Drosophila melanogaster: one gene and its partner. The protein of the gene in region 1 binds, or shares a complex with, the protein of each later gene. Each region holds a gene or a part of one and is shown on either strand. Other genes may lie near its edges.

What was found.
Region 2: Cog1 (region 1) and fws share a complex: the UniProt entries of both Drosophila melanogaster proteins name them as parts of the conserved oligomeric Golgi complex.

Annotation. Positions count from the first base shown.
Region 1 is NT_033777.3:12,213,678-12,221,585, forward strand, and holds Cog1 (component of oligomeric golgi complex 1), read right to left. Parts: upstream 6,010-7,908; 5' UTR 5,928-6,009; coding exon 5,794-5,927; intron 5,738-5,793; coding exon 5,055-5,737; intron 4,987-5,054; coding exon 3,929-4,986; intron 3,870-3,928; coding exon 3,204-3,869; intron 3,010-3,203; coding exon of another isoform or gene 2,986-3,009; exon of another isoform or gene 2,956-2,985; intron 2,277-2,955; coding exon 2,157-2,276; 3' UTR 1,906-2,156; coding exon of another isoform or gene 1,750-1,905; 3' UTR 1,203-1,749; coding exon of another isoform or gene 1,134-1,202; 3' UTR 115-1,133; downstream 1-114. Other genes in the region: CG14742 (uncharacterized protein), read left to right, coding at 1,134-1,202, 1,750-1,905; CG4860 (uncharacterized protein), read right to left, coding at 6,335-7,308, 7,439-7,678, 7,740-7,773. UniProt on the Drosophila melanogaster protein: Required for normal Golgi function.
Region 2 is NT_033779.5:17,477,892-17,483,029, reverse strand, and holds fws (four way stop), read left to right. Parts: upstream 1-2,000; 5' UTR 2,001-2,061; exon of another isoform or gene 2,062-2,110; 5' UTR 2,111-2,128; coding exon 2,129-2,734; intron 2,735-2,787; coding exon 2,788-3,858; intron 3,859-3,916; coding exon 3,917-4,495; 3' UTR 4,496-4,588; downstream 4,589-5,138. Other genes in the region: GCS2beta (glucosidase 2 beta subunit), read left to right, coding at 1-583; Lamtor3 (late endosomal/lysosomal adaptor, MAPK and MTOR activator 3), read right to left, coding at 1,244-1,574, 1,653-1,696. UniProt on the Drosophila melanogaster protein: Required for normal Golgi function and necessary during spermatogenesis. Required for cleavage furrow ingression during cytokinesis in dividing spermatocytes and for the extensive polarized cell growth that accompanies spermatid elongation.

The DNA.
Region 1 (7,908 bases):
TCTATTGAAAGATAATTATAAATATATGATTATTATATAATCAAAACCAGATATATGATATATGTATATACCGGCCATAGGAACAGTCGGATAAGTTATTCATATGCATAGTTTATTCGGTAAGCTTTATTAAATATGTTCAATATACTTATATTACAACTTTAAACAAGTCTATGCAAATAATAAAAATCAGATATTATACATAAGAAAGTGCGATGGAGATTAAATGGCATATCTGTGCTGATTAACTTTTTTTTAGGTTGCCCATAGTCTCCAATTAAATTACTTCCCTAGACCCATAATCAATTCTACCGTTCCTTGGTTTATCTCCCTCATTCAATCTTCCTGTTCTTCCCTTTCTGCATACATTAGCGCTTTCAATCGCCTTCTGGGCCATTTCTTTCCGATTGAAATCCGCCAAAATCTCTCTTGGCCTAGGCTATCACCACCATCAATTCGCGTTGCATCTATAAATAGCATCTTGTTGCACTGTCCGTATCCGTGGGATTCGCGAGTGAGCCGTGGGATTACCGACGTATTGCCTTCCATTGGCCGCAGACCAGAAATGCGAGAGGTGGCCAATGTCAATGCCATGGCCATGGGCGCATATGGCCAAATGCAAATGCGAAACCGAAACAGAAACAGAATCGAAATCGCAATCGGAAGCAAAGAGCCAAAAAGCGATGGAGGAGAAGCACTACAAAATAATCCAACGGTCGCCGCAAGAGAAACACTTCCCATTTCTTCCGGCCGCAAAGAGAGGTGCCCGGGCGGTGATTAAATCAGTTAAGAGCCATTGGCCATTGCAGCCAGGTCTCCTCTACCCGGAGCCAAATCCCCCTGGTCATCGCAATCAACCCATTCCCCTCTCCCATTGCCGCCCAAATTCATTGGCGCCTTTCCCTTCCGCCTTTGGCTGTTGCGCATTTTGTGTTTTGCTCTCAACGTTCATTTTGGCCTTCTTTTTCTGGCCAAATGATTTAATTTCATGTATTTCGCTGTGCGGCAATGGCGATGCTTATTAGTTGCAATTTGCCAGCTCTGGCATAAGTTTACTCTAGCCAAAGCCAACAGCAAGCACCGCAAACTAAACCAAATAAATAAAATAATTGCCTTCCCAAGAAGTTGATAGAATGGGCAAAAATAAGGGTGGTGGCGGCGGCGGTGGAGGAGGAGGTGGCGGTGGTGGAGGCGGGGGCAATGTAAGCAATATTTGTGTTATGCAACTTGCGTTCTAATTGTGAGTCTAACTACTTGTAATCCTCATCTTAGTGCCAGCTCATTCAGCTCATGGTCCCACCAAACTTCCAAGTAGCAATTTAACAATATTTAACTTTATCCCTACTTTCCAACAATTTTAAAATAATTCGTTGACCAACTTTCTAAACATAAATTTATAAAAGCATTGCCAAATTAAAAAAAAAAACTTTAGTGCACTAGAACTATTAACTTTGAGATTAAGCCTTGCATACAGTTTTTTAGGAAGGTGTTTCGTGCTACCTGTATTAATACGTTATTGTAGACCACAAATAATGGTTAGATTACATTTTATCATGCGGATAATAGCTGCTGCTGTATGTAATTAGAGAACTCCTGGTGCTTTGGAACAAGGGTCCCCCCATTGCAATCCTGGCACAACTAACCTTTTTCTCATTTACTGACTTCGCTGGGCAACCTTAAACAACCGTGGCTCGTTATTTGCTCGGTCCCAGCTCAAAGCGAAATCTTTCCGTGTTTCTTTGCCCACAGAAAAAGGGCGGCGGTGGTGGCGGAGGCGGCGGCGGAGGTGGCTCCGGAAATAAAAACAAAGGCGGCGATGGAGGCGGCGGTGACAAAGGTGGAGCCAAGAAAGGACAAGACCAAAAGGCAGCCGCAGGCGGTGGCAAGAAGGGAGGCAAGAAATAGCAACCGTGGCAACATCAAAGCGCATTAAAAATTACAAATTTAGAGTTAAGTTGAAATTAAAAGTGATATCAGGGTGTATATACGAGTATCTCTATAATGTATGTGACTTTCTTACAATTTACTGGGCGCTGCCCGCCTCTTCTACTACAAGTACGTTCGGATATATTTATGTAGGTTAAGCTTAACAATAGAAGAGCATCCCATCCGCATTCCGCTCGAATGCACTTCACAGGCCACTTGATTTGAATCCTCTAGCGAAACCACTCCTGGGACATCCCAAAGAAGGAAGCTGCGCTCGATTTGGATTTGCTGCTGTCTCCCTTGCGGGCTCCATTGCCACCCGACTTCCTCGTCGGCGTCGTTGTCGCCGTCTGAGATAGAGGGATAAAATGGGAGATGTTATTAATTAATTAGTACTATTAATTGGTAGTTTGTCTGATTAATCTGTTAATTTGCCGCTGGACTCTCAGATTTATAGCGAGCAGCGAACAGCAACAAATGGAAAGCAAACATAATTAGAGAACGATTTATACCGGCGGAGATCGCAGCTAATTACAAAACATGCGAGTAACGGCCAAGTAGCCACTGCCATAAATTAACATTTGCCCAGCGATTTGATTTCAATAATTGCAGCGATTCATTAATTACCATCTAAGGCACTCGTATACGCGCCCGTAATATATACATAATCATTCTGCCGATGTTCTGGCCATCCACTTGGAAATTTCGGGTTGGGTTTCAAGCGAAACTTTTGCCAACCACTTGCGGACGAAGTAGGGAGGAGTGGTTGGGAAATGGCGGCAGAAAGTTGCACCTAATTAAAATTTGTCTTGCGGCATTCTGGTTTATTTATTGCTGGATGGACCAAATTAGTTTAATTAAACTGCTGCTTCAGCTTGAAGAGGTTTTCAAATTTGGAAATGAAGCACTTAATAAGAGCAATGCGGCTATTTTGCTCACTCTTAATAAGTATTGGCTAAACAATCAATATCATGCAGCATGCAAACGAGGAATGATAACAAAGTATCAACAATCAAATAACATTCCTACCCAACCAGAGCAAATGTTGAAACTATTGACTTAGGAATGCAGTCGATAGAAATCCTAGGAAAGAAACATGGGAACGTAGCATTATAACTTGATAAAGTTGGTAAAAGATAAACTTTATATCTATTAGGGCTGTCGGTTTAATGCTTCAGCTAATCAATTTAGAATTTTAAATACACCACCAAATAGTAAAGCTTATACTCTTGAAGCCAACACCGACAGCCCTCTATATCATCACACTTTATACTCACTTTCTCAACTGGCTCTTGGATCGGAGATTTCCGCTCTGCGCTAGTAACTCTTCCGGCAGCTTGGGGCATCACAATGGGCAGCAGCGGGAACCACAGCGACGTGGATCCGGAAGAACTGAGACACAGCACATTGGGATCTGCTTCATGGGCCAAAGAACTGGCAGCAGCTGCACCCTGACTGGGAGCAGCTGCCGAGGGAGTAAGCACTCCCAGTTCACCCTGCAGACGGCTTGCAGCTCGGGACACATGAGCGGTTATATGCTCGGCAAACAGCTCGAAGTCAAAGGGATCTATGTAGTCGCGCAGTTGGTTCTGCTGGGCGTGGATTTGGTCGTAGAGAGTCCTCTCCTCACGTGAAATGGCGAACACGCGCTCCAGGAACTTAAGATCAAAGTATAGTTGCAGGGCAATATTCTGACTGGCTTTGGTGCATTCCGCGTGGGCCAATCCCTCGTAGTGGCAGAGCAGTTTCCCTATGAGCCGCTGAATGAATGCTTGCAATACCTTGGGTGGCAGAGTTTGGGGAACAACCGAATTCAATGCCTGAATTAGCTGATGAAGATACGTCTGCAGAGAGAGTCGCGGCTGACTGGGGATTCGAATGGTTGACTGAACACTCTGCTCCTGGTCCTCGTCGCGCTGTTCCAGTGTCAAGGTCTGCCAAAGCTACTCAAGAATATAATTATGTTACGTTACAAATAAATTTCTTCTTTCCATATAATTACCGCAAAGTCGCTGAGAACCACTTCATGATTAATGACCTTTGGCAGTTTCTCTTCGCAATTGTGGCCGGCCAACACATCGTCAACGATGACCAGCCAAAAGGATAGCATCTCCTTTTCGATCAGGCCACAAATGCGCTGCCAATGCTCAATTCCCAATCCCGCCGAGTTGTCAGTCCACTGCCGCCAACTGGACGGCTGGCAGAAGCACAACTTTAAATTGGGGCACAGCTCGACCAAGGCGAGACTATTCCTCAAAGCCAGGAGCAGAGCAGGGCGTTCCCTTAGCTCTAAACCTTTCAAATTGGATAAATACTCTGTCAGCTGTTCCTCGGCCGTTTCGCGCAGAAACTCGATAAGTGAAACCTTGTCCTCAGCCCTCGTCGTTTGTTCTTGTAACATCACATTCAGCTCCTGTACGATATCCGCCAGATGTGAGTCAAAACGTTTACACAGTTCTATTGTTGCGCCGTCATAGCCCTTCGTCCGATTTGCCAGTCGCTTTGGTTGATCGCTGAGTGCTGCCGCCAAGCTTAAAGGCAAATCATCGCTCTGCTCCCGCCAAATTTGTAGAGGCGGTTGCGACTGACCGGCTTCAATAAGCAATAGTACCTGTTCGTAGGTCAGCTTCATGGCGGAAGCCCAGCTGCTGCGAATTATCTCTCGTACTCTGGCGTTGATCAACGGCACGTACTTTCTGGCGTAGAAGTCTAACTGGCTACGCTTAAGATGCAATTGCTGTTCTAGGCGAACGAAATCCGGTCGACCATTAGTTCTGGCCGCGGACTTAATGTCCTGGATGGTCTGCATGTTGGTGACTAGTGCAAAGACTTGCTGCAAGTGAGCCGCTGCCAAGGCGTTCATTTTATCTAGCCATTGTTGAAGTGAAGAACCCAACTGCTCAGGTGTTAGCTGAGGTACATCAAATTGTGGCTTAAAACCAGCGATGATTTCGGGTAAAAGATGAACCAGCTGGCGCTCGCTACTCTCCATTCGGTTGATGCTGGGTGGACACGTAGAAGAGGCACACTCCTCCAAGCGGCTAAAAAGAAGGCTATAACCTGTACGAGAGAAAAGACCGATTGTTCCAATAATAATGTTGTGTGCCTATCTGCGAATGGAAACATACCCAAAAGACACTTGTCCAGAAGCTCCACGGTGCTGTTGAGCACGTTTAAGCTAGCCAAAATGCGATCCTTGACGCGACGTGGCTCCGATGGACCGCTTTGCAGGCAGTTCAGAAAGGCTGAGGAGCGCAGGTTCAAGAAGGATTTCAGCACAGTACTCAAATCGCTTTTGTCTAGCAAGAGAAGGCTCTGCAGGCAGTCCACAGTCATTTCTTGTAGGAGTTCCTCCCTCTCCAGTGCGGTCAGTATGGCTTGTTTGATGGTCACGTGAAAGGGACGCAGGATTTCCCATTGCTTGCGCGCTACCGGTAGTTTCTGCATCAGGGCACTCTGGCCGTCCAGTTGCAAGCCCGTGCTGATGTGGCGACTGAAGATGAACAACTCAGTAGCGGCATAGAAGCGATCGTTGTCCAAGTGCGTCCAGATTAGTTCCGGCAGGGCAGTAAGCAACTTAATCTGAGCCATGGTGCCGTAGTAGGTCTGCAGCTTTTTTCCGGCGTTCCTCTCCTTCAGTGCGGCATCTTTAGCACTTGCATTGGCAGTTGACTGGAAGCCCAGGAGCTGCTGCTCGTTTAGACTGCGGCAATTGGCCTGCACGTGTCGCACTTGCTCCATAAGTGTCCCGGCCGACGTTTGCATCGCAGCAATGGTGTCAGCCGCCTGCAAAAGATCTCGGTACCGCTCCCTTAAAGATTTAGAATGTTTAAGCAGCAAATCTTCTGAAGGTGCCACATCACTCACCCGACATGAGTGCGCAACTCCTCGCGCTTGTTCTCCACCACCGACTGGATCTTTTTGTGCACCTCGTCTATCTCGGACACGCTGTGCTGCTCAAACAGCGTGTCCACGTTCAGGTTTAACAAATTGGCCGTCATTTAGCCGTCAAATTAGTTTTATTTAAATTAAGAAAACAATAACAAGGGAGCAGCTGTAATAAAATCGAATTATGTATCGATGACTGGCAACATCGATATTTTCTCTCATGACTGTCTATGACTGTTAAATTTATGTTAGTTTACATTTCTCTGTTGGTAAAAATGTTAGATATGCTGTCATGTGCAAGCCGTTACATTTCAATATAACATAAAGAGTTATAGTTAGGGGAATTACCTCATTTAATCGAAAAAAGATATTTTTCTAAATCCAGGTTTCATTTGTTTAAATATACTTTATTAAATGCATTTGTCTGGCATAGATAAACTAATTTACATACACAACAAGTGTAAAAGCAAGAATTCTGATTGGTTTGGCAGCAGTAATAAAGAAAAACCAACAATGGCTTTCACTCCTTTCCCAATTCCCGCAGCACTGCGTTGGCGATCACAATTCTTTGGATCTCCGAGGTTCCCTCGTAAATCTCTGTGACGCGGGCGTTGCGGTAGTAAAGCTCCGCAGGCAGATCGGTGGTGTACCCCATCCCACCCAGGATCTGGATGCACTGGTGGGCACAAAAGGTGGCGGACTCGGAGGCATGCAGCTTGGCCATGGCCGCCTCCTTTGTGATTGGCAGCCCATTATCCTTCAGCCAAGCGGCACGCCACGTTAGCAGCCTTGAGATCTCCACCCGCGTGGCCATGTCGGCCAGCTTCTGCTGGATGAGCTGCAACCGTGCCAGATGCTTTCCGAAGGCCACCCTCTTCTGCGAATAATCCACGGCTAGTTCCAGGGCAGCTTGTGCGATACCGGTGGCCTGGGCGGCTATACCGATCCTGCCACAGTCCAAGGACTGCATGGCGATCTTGAAGCCATCACCGGCAGCTCCAAGGACCCGGGATCGCGGCACGTGAACGTCCTCCAGCACCAGCTGGCAAGTCGAAGTCGCGCGCATGCCCATTTTGCTTTCCTTCTTGGCTATGGAGAGTCCTGGAACATCCTTGGGCGTAAGAAAGGCAGTGATTCCCTTGTGTTTCATGCTCTTGTCCACCGTGGCAAAGACGATACCCCCGCTGGCCTCCTTGGAGTTTGATATCCACGCTTTAGTGCCGTTTATTTGGTAGCTGTCCCCTTGCAGCTTGGCCGTGGTGCTGGCAGCTCCTGCATCCGATCCGTTTCCAGGTTCCGATAGTGCATAGAAGGCGATGTGCTCACCCTGGGTGTACGGCACCAGGAAATCCTGCTTCTGCTGCTCGGTTCCATGCTGCTGCACTGCACCCAGGTACAGGTTATTCACGCCCATCACAATGGACACGGCGGCGTCACCACGAGCCACCTCCTCCATGCCAATCGCGTAGGCCTGGTAATCCAATCCGGAACCACCTGAAAAATCAATATTTAATGAATGGAATCTAGTAGTATGATCTATTTATATACCATTTCAAAAATGAAAACATCACATATTTTATGTTATGTAAATATTGTAAATATTATAATTGAAATAGGAACTCACCATACTCCTCTCGAACCGTCACTGACATGAGACCGAGTTCTCCCAACCGTCGGACCTGTTCCGCCGGATAAAGCTCCTCCCGGTCGTGGTGTCGCGCTTTGGGGGCCAGTTCCGCATTGGCGAACTCCCGGCAAGTCTTCTGGAGAATCTGGTGGGTCTCGGAGAGGGCGGCCAGGCATGCGATTCCCCGGTTTCCACCAGCGATTATCCTCGCACTCCATGCGCCGCTCGAGCGTTGACCTGCAAAGACGGAGGCGGCAAATCGATCATCCAGTCAGCCGGGAATCACCCAGTTCCTCACCCAACGTCCGCGCCACTCTGATCAGCTGCTGCATTCCGTCGCCAACTGATCCCAAGCCCGTGGTGCCGGTTGCGATCGAGGTAGTGAAAGCTTTTTCGCACTCGTCGACGAGCCGATCGAAATACAACCGAGGAAAACAGCTTTTATACGCAGCTTTTTGAGGCGAAGT
Region 2 (5,138 bases), on another chromosome or scaffold:
GTACGATGATGAGGAACCCGATGTGGGCGTTGGCGAAGCCTCTCCGGATGCGGAAGAAGCCACGCCACCTAACTACGATCCGGAGACGCAGCGTTTGATCCAGCAGGCCAATGAGGCGCGAAATGCTCTCGAGGAAGTGGAGCGCAGCCTGCGCGAGATTCAGCAGGAGGTTAACGAGATCGACGACCAGAACAACAAGGGCTACGGCCTGACCGAGGAGTGGGCCGTGCACGATGGCCAGTGCTACAATTTCGAAGATCGGGAGTATGTGTACACCCTTTGTCCCTTCGATCGGGCCTCCCAGAAGTCGAGGAGCGGTGGGCCTGAAACCACGCTGGGTCGCTGGGACAAATGGAGTGGAGAGCCAAAGCAATATTCCCAACAAAAGTACACCAATGGTGCTGCCTGCTGGAATGGTCCAAACCGTTCGGCCATCATCAACATTAGTTGTGCCCTGGAACCCAAAATCACTGCCGTCAGCGAGCCCAATCGCTGTGAATACTACTTTGAATTCGAAACTCCCGCCGCCTGCGACAGCGAAGCTTTCCAGTCCGAATCGGAGAATCTGCACGACGAACTCTGAAATGTTCAACAATCGACGATGAGGATGAGCCGCAGAGAAATGTGAATGCTTGGCATGCGTAGACCAGAGATTTGGGGATTGTATTTTAGTTTTAAAGGAGAATATCAATTTTGTCGAGATCATTCCCAAACTGCAGCAGGAAAACCATCAAGAATTGTAGCTAATTAACTCAGTATATGCATTTAAGCAAAAAGTACATCAAGTTTCATTCTGAATAAAGTGTAAACACCTAGTATTTTTAAAACAGATAACATCACTGAATGAAAATGTTGATTTAAAGTCGGTTTCCTTGAGCTCAAACATACAAATATTTTACTTTCGTGATACTTGAGCACAGACGATTTCAAGGTATAGGGAAAAGTATATTATAATTGAGAAACTATATGAAGAAATTTAATTGAATGTACACATTTTAGGCAGCAAGAATTTTTCATTTTAAATAAAGTGTCAATAGTTTGCATATTTGATATTGTTGCCAAAACGGAGGACTCGGAACTTTGTTCATCTTTGAGATCACCCTTCGCAGGATATGAAATAAATTCCCGGAATAGTACAATGGTGAGTTGAGATTTTTAAAAACTCATTCTGTTCTCAATAAAGTATGTATGTATAAACATTTAGTAAATATTAAAAATATGCATATTACAAGGTAGACTAACTTTAGGCCTCGGTGACAGCCTGTTTAATGTCCTCCAAATAGCCATCGACCTGGTGCTCCAGTGCGAGAATGTGTCCCGTGTTACAGTTCTCCGCGCCCACAAAGGTCAGGATGAGCGGCAGCTTGTTCATCTGGACCACCTGGTAATTGGAGTACATGGAGATGATGGTCTTGTTTCTGCCCAATCCCAGTTTGCTGGCCTGATCGCAGGCGGTGGTGAATGTGGGTATGAACGAGGGCATCAGGGCGAAGTCCACGTTCTTCTCCTGGCTAACCCGCAGGAGGGGCACTCCGTCGCGATCCGTAATCTGAATAACGTACAGCCCGCTGACCCTTTTGTGTAAATCGGGGAATGGGGGAAAAATTATAAGTTAATCATATTGGGAACAGCCTTTCCTGTGGAATATTTACTTTTGCAGCAGGCCGTCTAAATACTTCTTGATGTCGTCCGACATGGAAAATTTGTTAAAGCGAAAGACTAGAGAAGGTATGGCAATAATAATACGTTTTTCTCCGCATCCAATTATTTACACAAAACAAAGTGAGCAACAGCTGCCTCAAGTTATCGATAAGTTCATGTGGCAGGGGCGTAGTCGGCGGTCGAAGTAAAATATTTTCAGCAAGCGGAAAAAGGATGCGGCTAGTTTTTAACATTATTATTTAAATATTATATTATTAAGCTATCACGCAATACTTTATATAGTTTTTTAGAAACCCCTTCAAAAAATTCAATCCCCGCTCAACTGGAAATTTATCGATTACAGCCTGTTTTTGGTTGCGTGGAAAAACAGTTTGTTTGCAATACGTAAAATTGCTGCAAGTAATGGAAATAAAAGTGTAATACCAGCTTATAATTCGTATTACCATAGATTAAAACCTTCTGCATCATGGTGACTGGAGACCCGGTAGCGACAAAGACCCCAAACGCAGCGGATTCGGATGATAATGACTTTACCGCATCCATGTCGCACCTGACCATTGGCCAGCAAATCCAGGAGCTGTCCAAGCAACTGCAGAACACGAAGGAGGAGCTGCACCAGCAGGTGCGCGACAAGCACGGAGCTCTACTGCAGCAGGCCACCCACGCTGGGCGCTTCGATGCGGCTTTAAACGCGCTCGCCGAGGATGTGCAGCGGGTCAGGGAAACTGGGCACCGGCTGAAGAACCAGGTGGACACGCAGTACCAGCAGGTGGAGAACCAAACGCAAGTGCTAGGGCGTCTGCACGATGTCAGTCACCTACTCCGCTCGGCTGGAACATTGCTGAGCCTCACGGCCAAACTAAAAGCGACCAAGGATGTCCTACGCCTGGCCGAAATCCACTTTGAGTTGGGCCAACTCATCGAAGATAAGGAGCTAAAGGACATTGATTTTATCCAGCAGGAGCGAGCTTATGTGATCAGCTCTGCTCAGAAGATAAGGAACCTCACGCAGATGCAGTTGGTCACTGGGCTCCAGGAGCGCAATGAAAACCAAGTGGTTAATGCCTTGAAGGTGGATATAACAAACATTTTTCTAGCATATACCTAAGAGTTCTTATTCCTTAGATCTTTATGAATTTCAATACGCTGGAAAAATCGCTGGATAACCTATTGGCCACCTTTATTGCCGACATGGAGCAATCTCTGAAAGAGTGCTTTGCTGGCAACGATATATCTGTGCTGAACAAGTCCCCGACGCACAATGTGAGCAAACCTGCTCCCTCGAGGGGACCAGGAAAAACTCCCCAGTTGACAACCACTCAAAACTTCCGTGCCAAGTTCTGGAAGTCTCTTCATTGGCTGCTCTATGATGAACTTTTTGAGACTTGCACGCAAATCAAGCTGCTGAAAACGGCTCTCGAGCAGATCAACCAGTTTGGCTATACATCAGAATCATCGGATCAGTGCATTCCGCAGCGTTTTTGGCAGCAGGTGCAGCAGCTCCTGCGAAAATCCTTTGACGAATGCCCCCAGCATGTTACGCAGACCCTTCAGGAGGGGCTCTCAAAGCTCCTGACCTCCGCTCGTGGCTTGGAGCAGCGTCTGCATGGCGAGTTTCAGTTTGACAACGAACTATTTGCTCCCCTGGAAGTGGGTTACGTTAGCAAGTGTGCTGCCAACTTTAAGGCATGTCTGGCGGGAGTCGATTTGCCCGGCAACGAAACGGTGGACAACTTTATTCGTGTGGCATCAACGGAGCTCAGTGCTGCTTTGATCGATTCCCGTCTCACGAATGCCATAGCAAATGTATTTGCGGCCTGTGGAAAAGAGTTGTGCACAAAACTAGAGGCTCAAATCAAGCTGGGAGCTGATTCCAAGCAGGTCGTGGATCTGCCCAATCTGCAGCAGCAGCAAAACACCCAGCTGGCGAATGTTCTGTTCTACTATAAGGATTCAGTGCGTCGCATGCTCAGTGATCTTCATGTGCACTTTGAAAAGACACCGGGAACAGCTAGGGAGATTATATCCCGATCCTTGGAACAGGCTGATTTACTGATCGGCACCATTCTACAGCAGATAATGGAGTCGATTATCACGACCATTAGCATCATTGTATTGAGTATGCACAGGGAGCCGGGATTGAATTCGGAGAGGATGTCTACCACAGGTCCGTCGATGTACATGAAGGAACTGCAGGTGGGTGGGAATTTGAATGTAATACTTGGCTAGTCATATGTCTCAATCAAACTATTAGGAGTTCGTCAACCGATCCTGGTCGCATCACATCGCCCTGTTCGATGACAAGCAGATGACGAAAAAGTGCGGACACGAGTTGGCCAAACGTTGCATTGAGCTCTTCCTGCACAATGTGTGCATTCTGCGACCTTTAAGCTCCTGCGGAAGGCAGCGTTTGAAGCAAGACTGTCAACACATGGAACAGGCGTTGAAACCTCTTTGCCCAAATCTCGCCGAGCTGGGAAAGCCGTCGCGTCTGCTAAGAGCCATGTCCTTGCTGATCGTCCAAACGGCCGAGGAGCTGGTCAAGCAGACAATCGGCGAGGACTCTCTAGTGCCCAGTTACATAGTGCTGTTGCTGCTCTTCGGACACGCTGGAGCAGATCTGCAGTCGCCACACACGACGGCCAACTGGTCCAATGAGCGGCTGATCGAATGGCTGGATGGGCACACGGCTGAACGGGAGAAACTAGAGCTGATCTCGGGGGCACTGCAACGGTATCGGGACAATGCCAGGCGAAAGAACATTCAGCAGTACGACGAAGTTTACCCCATGATGGTAGATTATTTTGAACAGGCCTTAAAGGCACTTCCATAAATGTCTAATGTATTATGTATCTAGAACTATGTATGTATGTATGTAAGAGCACGAATATGTTTGGAATAAACATATGCATGGCATCCTTCTATTAAATCATTGTACTCAGTTCCTTCCGCTAAATGAAGCTAATGAGTTTCTTAGAATAACTTATTGAGTGGAATAATGATAGCAGTGAGAACTTGAGGCTAGAGGCTTAAAATTGAAATTATGCGAGGTTGTGTCATATTGTCATTTGATTAAATTAATTTTGGTAGGCAGTTTTGGCTGGCGCTATATGAATAAATGGAATTCCATGGTTAATATAAATGATACTGGTACTTACTCAAAAGACACATTTTGGAAGATGTTTCGTATTAAAAGAATAATTCTTACTTATTCGTCATTAACATTAAGAGGATTTCAAATAAAAATATATCACTACATCGTTTGGAAATAGTTCCTCCGGAATATCGGTATTTATATATTTTTCACATTTATATCGATTTGAAATAGGCATTCAAAACAACGGTAGTAATAACTTTTTTAAACTATCGATGCGTATTCAGAATAACGGTACTAATAACTTGTTCTAACTATCGATGTGTATTCTGAATAACGGTAGTACAAATTTTTCCCAACGGTATATCGATATCCATCTGGG